3 linked regions of the Nothobranchius furzeri genome follow. The protein of the gene in region 2 interacts with the protein of the main gene of each other region in a biochemical or structural test. Links are inferred from orthologs where the notes say so. Each region holds a gene or a part of one and is shown on either strand. Other genes may lie near its edges.

What was found.
Region 1: of the proteins of gsk3ba (region 2) and eif2b5, one has a biochemical effect on the other in vitro, tested with the Homo sapiens proteins (2 studies listed by BioGRID and IntAct). The link is inferred for Nothobranchius furzeri from reciprocal best matches to the Homo sapiens genes GSK3B and EIF2B5.
Region 3: of the proteins of gsk3ba (region 2) and rapamycin-insensitive companion of mTOR, one has a biochemical effect on the other in vitro, tested with the Homo sapiens proteins (2 studies listed by BioGRID). The link is inferred for Nothobranchius furzeri from reciprocal best matches to the Homo sapiens genes GSK3B and RICTOR.

Annotation. Positions count from the first base shown.
Region 1 is NC_091751.1:63,546,827-63,550,248, reverse strand, and holds part of eif2b5 (translation initiation factor eIF2B subunit epsilon), read right to left. Parts: intron 3,385-3,422; coding exon 3,294-3,384; intron 3,218-3,293; coding exon 3,094-3,217; intron 3,022-3,093; coding exon 2,896-3,021; intron 2,816-2,895; coding exon 2,705-2,815; intron 1-2,704. UniProt on the Homo sapiens protein: Acts as a component of the translation initiation factor 2B (eIF2B) complex, which catalyzes the exchange of GDP for GTP on eukaryotic initiation factor 2 (eIF2) gamma subunit.
Region 2 is NC_091754.1:24,487,377-24,490,749, reverse strand, and holds the end of gsk3ba (glycogen synthase kinase-3 beta), read right to left. Parts: intron 3,323-3,373; coding exon 3,136-3,322; intron 2,970-3,135; coding exon 2,871-2,969; intron 2,556-2,870; coding exon 2,491-2,555; 3' UTR 571-2,490; downstream 1-570. UniProt on the Homo sapiens protein: Constitutively active protein kinase that acts as a negative regulator in the hormonal control of glucose homeostasis, Wnt signaling and regulation of transcription factors and microtubules, by phosphorylating and inactivating glycogen synthase (GYS1 or GYS2), EIF2B, CTNNB1/beta-catenin, APC, AXIN1, DPYSL2/CRMP2, JUN, NFATC1/NFATC, MAPT/TAU and MACF1.
Region 3 is NC_091757.1:36,636,516-36,640,170, forward strand, and holds part of rapamycin-insensitive companion of mTOR, read left to right. Parts: intron 1-2,041; coding exon 2,042-2,106; intron 2,107-2,268; coding exon 2,269-2,400; intron 2,401-2,486; coding exon 2,487-2,550; intron 2,551-3,489; coding exon 3,490-3,616; intron 3,617-3,655. UniProt on the Homo sapiens protein: Component of the mechanistic target of rapamycin complex 2 (mTORC2), which transduces signals from growth factors to pathways involved in proliferation, cytoskeletal organization, lipogenesis and anabolic output.

The sequences.
Region 1 (3,422 bases), on a different chromosome or scaffold from region 2:
CTCCTGGGCCAGGCTGAGGTTGAAGAGGTGCTGCAGAATCCCACAGAGCTGCTCTGCACAGGCCTTCAGTACCCTGGGGCTGACCCCATCTGGACCTGCAGCCTTGTTCCTGTTCAGTCTCTCCAGCTGTCTCTTCACCTGACTTCTAGAGACAGATAGGTGGGAGGGGGAGGTAAATGGGGCAGCAGCATCTCCTGACTTGGTTGAATACAGATTTATAGAACCAGAAGAGTCCATGACTGCGTTAGAGGACAAAAGAGCTGGCGTGTGACAGGAAAATGTTGGATCAGAGGAGGATGGGATGTCTGATTGACTGGGGACAGGCGAGGAGGATGCTGGGTTTGTTCCTGAACTGAACCTATTGAAGAACTTGTTCAGATCATTGGCTGTGTCCAGGCTGCCATCTGTGCAATCCTTCCTCTGCTTGAAGCCTGTGATCTTCTTCATCCCTGACCAGACATCTCTGATATTGTTCCTCTGTAGTTTGTTCTCCAGCTTCTTCCTGGATGCCTCCTTGCTGTCTCTGATCTTGATCTTCAGTTGTTTCTGTATACTCCTCAATAATTCCCTGTCTCCCTCCTTGAAGACTCTTTTTTTCTCATTTAGATTCTTCAGTTTACTGGTGAGCCAAGGTTTGTTATTAGCGAAGCATCTCACTGTTCTGGTGGGTATGATGTTGTCCACTGATCTAGTGTGTAGACCCCCTCGTCTCTGTTCATGGTTCCGTGCCCACGTCTCCATATCTCTATAGCTTCCTTCATCCATCTTTTGTATTTCTGTTGTTCGGTGTTTATGATCCTTGTGTTGTTCCAGTCCATTACATGGTTTTCTCTTGTGCAGTGATCTGTTGCGGCTGACTTCTGTATTGAGCTTTCTGCTTCTTGTCTTGCTGCTCTTGTGTGTCTTCAACTTGTTACTTTTTCACTCCTTTCCATGTTCTACTGTTCTTGTGTCGAGTTGGCGTCCGGTTTCTCCGATGTATATTTTATTGCAGAAATTGCATGGCATTTCATAAATGACTCCACACTTATGTCCTGCTGATGTCCTGACGTGTGTGCGTGTGTGTGTAACCAGTTTGCCCCGCTTGTTGATATCGAAAACTGCGCTGAACCTGCTGCTGTGTATTTGTTTGTATTCGCATTTATTAAATCCATCTTTTGCTGTAAAAATTGCATTTAAAATGATGGAAACGCTGTGTTTCTCCACAGGAGTGTGTGTGTGTGCGTGTTTGTTCAGGAGTGTGTGTGTGTGCGTGTTTGTTCATTTTCATCCCTCTAGTCTGTTTAGATACACAAAAATGATCACATTTATCAATGTTTAATTTTGACTTTTTTTCTTTTTGTTAAATTTGCCGGCCTGCCTCTTCTGTTTCGGTTTGACTTCCTGCCAGAATTGACGCGGCTCACGAAAAAATTTGAGCTCCAACGATCGACGGCCGAAACGATCGCTGCGCGGCGCGAGCCTTCGTGGCAGGCTGATGTGACAGAGGGCGTGGGTTAACAAGGTCGCCGATTAGAAGCGCTCGTCGTTCGACGGCGCTTCGCTGCGCGTCGTCGTGCTTCCACGTCCAGTGTGTTCCAGGCGTGAATGTCTTCAACATGACCAGGAAAGTCTTGCTGTTTTCACCTAAAACTCTCACGATGATCATGTCTAGGATGACGCCTACATGCTGCAGCAGCGATTCGGTTAAAGGGAAACTGAAACGTAAATGTAGCTGCTGTCAGTAAGAAACTAAGACTTAAAACATTAAAACGTTCAACAGACTAGTTAAAAAAAAGAGAAATTTCTCACAACTTTGCAAGTTGTGAGATTTTTATGTGAATATTATTATTATTATTATATTTATTATCCCTATCAGCTCCTAATGACCAGAACCCAGTGTGGTCCACCACAGAGAAAGCTGCTCTATCATGACTTTAACTATTTTACAGGTTGTTGCTCAGCCTTCCGACGGTCACGCTCACACAGACGAGTGTTGGTGAGTGGCTGCGTTTGACTGCTGATGCTGTGTGTTTTTATTTCTGCAGTGAGACAAACTCACCTCACGGAGTTTGTTCATTAAAACTCGTGGGGAATCCACCGTGTTGAAGCATTCTACCGAGCTTCCTCTGCACCGTATTTTTTGCTGCAGGAATTAAACTTTACTTTCTGACGTTAAAAGTTCAGCAGACGCGTTTGTTTACATTTTAAAGTGTGAGGGAGTTGGGGGGGTCGACGCTGCTCCCAGGGTCTCTGCAGGCTACTGCACAGTGCAGTGGCTGCATGGTGACGCAGTGGTTAGCACTGTTGCCTCGCAGCACAAAGGTCGCAGGTTCGAAACTCGGCTGCGGCCTTTCTGCATGGAGTTGCGTGTTCTCCCCATGCATGCGTGGGTTTCCTCCGGGTACTCCGGTTTCCCCCACAGATTCTTCTTCTGGCCGGCAACCTGGGAATCAAACCTAGGAATTGAAATAAAAAACTCTGAATGATTCCAGGGAAAACTGACGGTTAGTCCCGGCTCCAATCGACGCTCGATGCCCAACCCTAACAATAACACCCTGGATTTGAAATTCTTAATTGTTAACTACTTCAATGAGCGCCCTATAAAGGGTTAATAATGTTTATTCTATTCTTTTCTGCCACAAGACAAGTCGCGTCCTCATCAGCTGACTGTCCCGTTTTGAATCCTCCAACAGAACCGTGCGTTCTCTCAGACAGAACCTACCCCCTGGTTCTTGCGGAGCTGCCTGCTTTGATCTGTTGTGGCTCCCTGAGAGAACCACCGCAGAATCATCTCCTCCTCCAGGATCTCCAGCTGGTACATGTTCATTAAAACCTGGAGTGTAAACAGAAAAAGTAAATGAACACATGGAAACATCCACACGGTCACGAGAAACTTCCCTGACTGATCCAGACCTTCACCATCGCAGCCCAGTGGCCCTCCTGCTCCAGGAAATGTTCCTCAAAGGCACCCAGGCAGTCCAGGTGGTCCTGTGCTCTCTTCACATAGTTCTTAAAGACTGGAGCCCACTTCTTCAATAACTAAGAGCAGAAAAAGAAAGTTACTTATGTCTGAACAAAAAAAAAGTAAGCATGTTTGCTTCATTAAGTCACCGGCAGGAGCAGAGAAACATATTGTGAGGCGCTCAGATGTGCATCCTGCTGCTGGAACGGGTACTCCAGCACCACCCGGGTTAAAATCTGCATCACCTCCTTCAGAGTGATGTTGTAGGCATACCTGGACAAAAACAAGGAGTTCAAACAAACAAAAAACGCAAAAAAAGCATAAAACAGAGTTCAGAAACTTGACCTACTTCAGAGAATTTATTTCAAGCACAAGATTGTCACAGCTGATGTTCTCCTCCAAGCCTCTCTGCAAGGTCCCGATCACCTCCATCTGGAAGACTGCACAACAGCAACATTCAGGCGCTTTGAGTTTTAAA
Region 2 (3,373 bases):
GCGCACATTTAGCATACCTTCACAGAACAAAAACAAATGAAAACTAAATAAAAAGTTCAGTCACAAACAAAGGCATTCAAGTAGTACTGTTATACAGGATGTTTTTGTAATAGTTTTTTTTTAATATTTTTTTTCTTCTCTTTAATCCCAGGTAGGCCCAGTTAGCACATCTGTAAGCTAGTATATGATACTAGTATTTATACTTGCTTTGTTTTTTTTTTTTTGGGTAACTGTTCTAGTATTTTGATGAACTGGGTGTTAAAAGTTAGGTTAAAGTGGTCAAACCTTGTGGAGGGTAGCAATACGCTCATGAATGCTAAATTACAGCAAGCAGGAGATGGGGGGGTGGGGGCTATTTGACTCAACCCCTTCGGTGCTACTGAACCCCCTCCCACCAACAGAATTAGGAGGGGGGGGGGGGGCGCAAGCAAGAGAACAGAGAAAAAGGAGTTATTGCCTCTGAGGATGGCTCGGCACAACTACATCAACGTTTGGCTTTGGTAACAGAACCAACACTGTCAGTGACACAAAGTCTCTACTGTATTATATGTACAGTATACCAGCCCCCCCCCCCCCCCCCCCTCCTGCCACCACCCACCTCAGTCCATGTGGGTGTGGGGGATTAAACATCTACCAAAATCAACAGGTGTCTAGTGAATCTGCAGTAAGGAGAGCCATCCTTACCTCTAAAGCCTATAATACAACTGCTGTGTGATTGGGGTGGGGGGTGAGTAGCACGACATTCAACAGCACCAAAGGGAGAGTCACAACATTGGGTGAGGGTGGAGACAAGGCGAAGGTGTATGAAAGCAAAGGCACTCCAAACTATAGTTACACTATACATGACTAGTCCTTGTTACAATAATACAGCGGTCTTCTAATGAACTGTACAGGTAAAGATTGAACATATGGCTGGATAAAGCTGATCATCTTCTAACACACCCATAAACATCAGTTTTGCCCTGATTTTAATGTTTTCCTGCTTTCTTTCTTCCCCGTCTTTGTTTTTGCTCATAAACAGTACATGGGTCTGCGTATATATACATACGGTGAACACAACATGGAAAACGACTCAACGCAACATAAAAAAATTAACATACAAGACGTACGAGTTTTGGTGAGGAGCATTTAGGCTGTATGTACAAATTCAGTTTCTTTGTTTCTTTTTTAAATGTAGAGAAGATAATTCGTCAGCCTGTAGTGAGCGGCTCTATGTGCTGTAGGTGGAAAGGAGGGGAAAACAAACACGTGGCTAACATTTCCGTCGACATGAGACAGCCTGCGGTGCACCGAGGACCGCCGCCGGGGCTTCGAAAACAGCCCAGACAAGAAAAAAGCGATCATCTGGAAGTCTCCAGGAGGAGGTGGACTGGGGGACACGTTGCATCGTCACAGACGCGATATTAGACGGAGTCGAAGGCAAAAGGAGCAGAGCAGCACCCTACATCCATCTACACAGGAGGAGAGGGAGGTGGCTGCCGGAGGCCAGCAACTCCAGATACAAAATAAAAACTTAGTGAAGTCTGTCGTCTTTGGGCGGCAGCAAATATTGCCACGGCTCCACCAGATATGAGCTCACCGTAAATGATTTCTGAACCACTGTAGATAATATACATAGAATCTATATATACTTTTTATACATAAAGAAAAGTATTATATAAAGTGTGTATGCGTATTTGTACTGTATGTATAAATCATACAAGCACACAGGACCAGATACACATCACGCCCATCACACACCCTCCAAAACAAATAACATCTGCCCAGGAGTACAAAATAAAAATAAAATAAAAACAGAATAAAAGAGCTTAATGCCTAAAAACAACCCCGGGCAAAAAGAAAACAAATGTCCAAATAATTCTACCCCTCCTCCTCCCTCCTCGAGGCGGGACTGCTCCCTTCCACATAGGATCATCATGCATCCGTGTGTGTGTCTTGAGTGTGTGTTTACGCGTGCGGGAGCCTCATGCCTTGTTTGCAGAAGTAGTGGTGAGAGGACATGACAGTGCCCCCTCCCCTTATTGTACTCAGGTCATGCACTACAGAAGGAACCGAGGGAGACGGGGGAGAAGTGGGGGGATGCAGGGAAACGGTACAATATAAGGAGAGGACAGGTTGACGGGGACAGCGAAGGACTTTTCTACAGATTGTCCTCTTGTGGATGTCTAGCGTGGTGTATACGTGTGAAGTTTAGTACAGTCAGCAACACAGGCGGCCCACGCTTCGCTTTCAGGTGCCTTTAACGGAGGAGGGGAGGAGTTCGAACACCTGCTTATGGGTCAGGGGAGGGCTCAGGGATGCCTGTGTTTTTGGGGGTGGGAGGGGGATTGTTTAGCTGTTGAACCCAGGCTGCCTCAGCATAGCTGCGCCGCTGCCAGGGAGGAGAGCGAGGCAGGAGCAGAGCCGATCGGAGCTCACCCCCTGGTCAGGGCAATGAAGAGGCTGTGGGCTGGGGCTGTGGGCTGAGGCGGGGCCGGGAGTTCTGTGGGCTCAGGAGATGGAGTTGGAGGCGGAGGCGGTGGTGGTGCTGGGACCTCGCTCTGTGCTGCTGCCGTCTGTGAGCAGAAAGCAAAGTCAGTGATGCTGCTTTTAATGGAAACCAGAAAACTCAAAACCATCTGCTGATAATGAAGAGATTCTGAGTTTCACATTTATTATTTAAATCAAATTTCTTGTAAAAAATGTATTCAAACATGCAATGAACTGTTTAAAGAGTTTCAATAACGTACCATTTAAATCTGTTTAGAATAGAATAGTCATTGTTGAGGGTTGATGCCATAAATGTTTCCTTCAAGGTGGTGATTACAGAAGTTCTGCCCTCTTGAATTATAAAAAAAATAGTGTTTTGAAGAAGAAAGCTCTGCAGGTACCTGTGGTGGCAGACGCGTTGGTTGGAGTGGAGGCGGCGGCCTGGCTGCGGGCGTGGGCTGGGATGAGTATGGAGGCCAAAGAGGCATTACTGGATAGCTCTGAAAGATAATGAACATAAGTTATCAGGTCATGTTGTTACAAAGCCACCCTGGAGATAAACTCCCAGATGGCAACAAGACATTCTGAAAGCAAAATGTAAAGAAGCACAAACTAAAGAAAATACAGAGGATTTCAGCTGTTACTGTTCGTGTTTGTGGCGCGTACCCTGGGTGGTGAAGTTAAACAGCGAGGGTTTCTCTCTGCCGTTGGGAAGCTTGACATTGGGGTCACGCAGCTCGTCAAAGAAGGAGTGAGCACAAGCCTCTAGAGGGGTGAGGCGCGCTGTGGGCGTGTACTCTAGCAGGCGAGAGCACAAGGCGATGGCCTCTGGAGGTGTGCGAGGCCGGAAGACCTGAACGACAAATTACAGACACAAATCAACAAGATGACTGTTGCTCGACGA
Region 3 (3,655 bases), on a different chromosome or scaffold from region 2:
CACCAGACAAAAGACGTCCAGTCAAACTTTGAACAGCAGAGGAAGAACAACGACAAAGGATGTTTATTAGGAAACATTGAGTGGGGAGAATTATTGTTTTAATTTAATTTATCACTCGGTGACTACAAGGGCACAGAAATGGATGATTTCCTCATGAGAAATCATTCAGTTACTTTTGAATAAGCGGATGAAAAAACTAGCAGTTATTCCACCTCTTAGGCTGCGGTTAAACGCTGTGGTGCAGATGATCCCCAAACAGTTCGAATATTGTCATCTAGGGACTGTTCTGCACAGACATGGAGAAGCATGTGGAGGAATCTAGAGCTGACTTCTTCACTACTGTCCTCACTCTGGCATTGCTGGCTGGAGGGACGAGGAAACGCCATGATCTAATGTAGATCAAGATCAGCACTGTGGCTTTAAAAACAAATACACTCATGTCATGTTTATAATAAAATTATTCTTAAGATAGCAGTGTTCATCAGCTCAATAATGCTTCAACCAAGCTGTATAATGAGGCCTTCTGTTCTGTCCCACCCGACACACAGCGATGCCCCTCCAGATAATGGTGGAAAAATTTACCATAAAACAAGAGGGGAAATCACCGATTTGGTTATTTTCAGATTATTTTTCCTACTGCCTCTGCAGATTAAAGGCATTATTTTAAATAAAAAGCTGTTGCCGTGCTCTGATAACATTTCCAAGGGTCTTTTCTTCTTTGCCATCCTGGCATTTTAAAAGGGAAACACTGGGTGAAGGAGGAGGAAACTGCTAGTTTCTTGTATTCTGGGCACTGTTGTCTTTTTGCCCAGCATCACATTGTTGAGAAATGTGAAAGTAATTTAAACTAGTGGGTAAAGCACAGACCCGGGACACTGGATCCTGTTGCTGCTTAGATATGTGCGGATCTGTCAGCTCACTGCTTTTCATGGCTTCTGACTGGCTGCTCTGGATGAATTGTAAACAATTGTTTGTGGCTCTGCAGACGGTGTGTGCTGTAACTGGCACTGTGGTGGACCAGAGGCTTAGTGTGAGGCCAGTTAGTGTGTCTGCAGTCTGTCCACCTAATGCTCTTGTTCACAACTGACTTGAAGCTGTCAACGAGTGTGTGTGTGTGTGTGTGTGTGTGTGTGTGTGTGTGTGTGTGTGTGTGTGTGTGTGTAAACATCTGTCGAAGTTTTATCACTTTGATTCCTTATAAGGGTTTGAGGACAGCAAATCCCTCATGGAGAGCATCATGTGCCCCCCTCTCCCCTTCCTCATCCTGTTTAAGCTCTGATGTCACCGCTAGTTTAATACTACCCCATAATCGCCCAGACCTTACTCACCACCTGTCCCATTCCACTTTCTGCTGCTACCTCCTGCACAGCTATGCGCTACACATGCTCTTGAGAGACAATTAAACAAAATAAAGATGAATTCCCCACTAGGCTTTTTGATCTGGTGTGTTGCCTGGAGATCCCAATGAGAAAGGGTAGATGCTCTGAAAAACGACCAGCAGTGTGTTTTAGCCAATCCTCTCGGTTGTGTGTGAGTTCTTGTTAATGATGGAGGATCTGTTGCTAAAGGGTGGCAGCAGCAGGTCTGGTGGAGTGTTAAAAACAGGAGAAAATGATGAAAAAAGTTTTCATGTGTCCCAAAAGAAATGTGAGCGCAGACCAGCAAATGTTGGAGGTGACCCATAACTCCTGAACCTGTCGTTCATGAGGTAGCATCACCCAGTTCCCCCACTTTCTCTTACCTGCTCCAAACAAATGGGCACATGCAGGCGAACGGTTTATTTCTGTGATTTTTATGTTTTTTTCCTGTTTTTAGGGGAAAGTCGGATAAATAAAGTTCTTAACTAATCGTAACAAACAGAAAAGAAGACTTTCACTGGCAGACATGAACAAATGATCTGAACACTCACAAAATAATTTCTCATTATTTGTTCATGTTTAAATAAAAGGAGCGCTTTTGATGTGAAACAAGTGAAAACATTTTTGTTGATTTTTCAATCGTCTGAGAAACAAATAATTCACCTTGTATCTTTTTATTGCAGCTGCTTTGCAGCATTGGACATCGAGAGGAAAACTTTGGGTTTACGTATGAAGAAATTATCATTTGGTGAGTTTTATTCTTTTTTCAAGTTTATTAGGTAAATTTTTTTTTCTGTGAAAAGTAAAGCTAGATCCATTAAAACAATAATTACATCGATTCTTTAAAGCGAAAAAAATATATAAAAATCATTAAGAGCATAAATTGATTTTATAACTTGTTCTTCTTTAGTCTGCGGCTAGCTCTACTAAATGAGGCCAAGGAAGTGCGTGCTGCAGGTTTGCGTGCGCTCCGCTACCTTATTAGAGACACCATTGTGTTGCAGAAGGTCCTCAGACTGCAGGTGGATTATTTGATAGCCAGGTAAGATTCTGCTTCAGTCAGGGTGGAAAATCACTTGTGGAGACCTGATGTGTTTTGTTTCTTACTCTGTTTTGTGCCTGTTTCAGATGCATTGACATCCAGCAAAGTAATGAGGGGGAGAGAACTCAGGCTTTGCGACTGGTTCGAAAGGTAAGATAAATACGCTTATCTGAGTTTTTCTAACTGTTTATAGAGTTTATGTCATGTCCACAGAGGAGTTTCGGGTTGCTGCTGACTTGTGTCAGCACAGCGGCACCAGAACGGTCCTTTGGGTCAGCAGCAGTGTCAGGCTGGTTTGTAGAGTCTGCAGGCCAAGTTATTTATAGCTCTTCTGTAGTTTACTGTCAACAGCGCACACATGCACAAAGTGCACTGTGGTTTTGAGCGTGGACTATTGACCACACTGGCTGTACCATGACCTGTGTTACTGTTGTAACATAACGTCATGATGTTAAAATAGATTTATGTTCATACTAGTCTACACAAAGTTTTCATAAGCTAATACTGAGTTTGTTTAATTATACAAACAAAACATTTGATCAAGTTTTCAGACCCTTTTGTCTGTTGACATCTGCAGCTGAGCTCAGGTGCATTCTGATTAATTTTCCAGCGCTCGCTCCGATTGTAGTTTGCTACGATTCAGAAAACAAACCTGCACACGTCTCTCCTGTGTGGAGTGTTTCACCAGACACAACAAACAAATGAGTCTGCAAATGCAACCAGACTAGAGAGAAGCATCAGGGACTCGAAAATGGTGGCACTGCTTGAAAATATAAACCACTAGAAAGTATAAACGTGGGAGTGTTGGTCGGGTTTGAGTGGCTTTGTGTTTACAGATACAGAAACTGGCAAAACTTTAAGGGATGGTGTTGTTTATGATACTTGATGGGACTTTATTTTCCAAGGTGACCATGATACAGCTGTCTACATACAGTCTCACAGTTGTACTTATCATGTACCAACAAACGCAGTCTGGTTCCTCTCACCTGATCGTAGATTGTAATCTAAGATTGGCACAATACAAACAATAACAATCTGGTGTTGAGCAGACCTGTTTAATGTTTTTTTTCCCTTTCTCTCCTCCTGTAGATAATAACCGTCAATGCAACGCTGTTCCCCACCTCTGTTGCAAATTCTCTCATTGCTGTGGGGACGGATGGACAGCAGGAGAGGGACCGCATGGTTCGAGCGGCAATCGCCATCGTATGTGAACTAGGCGAGTACCTGGCATTTAGATAGGGACACACATCAGACA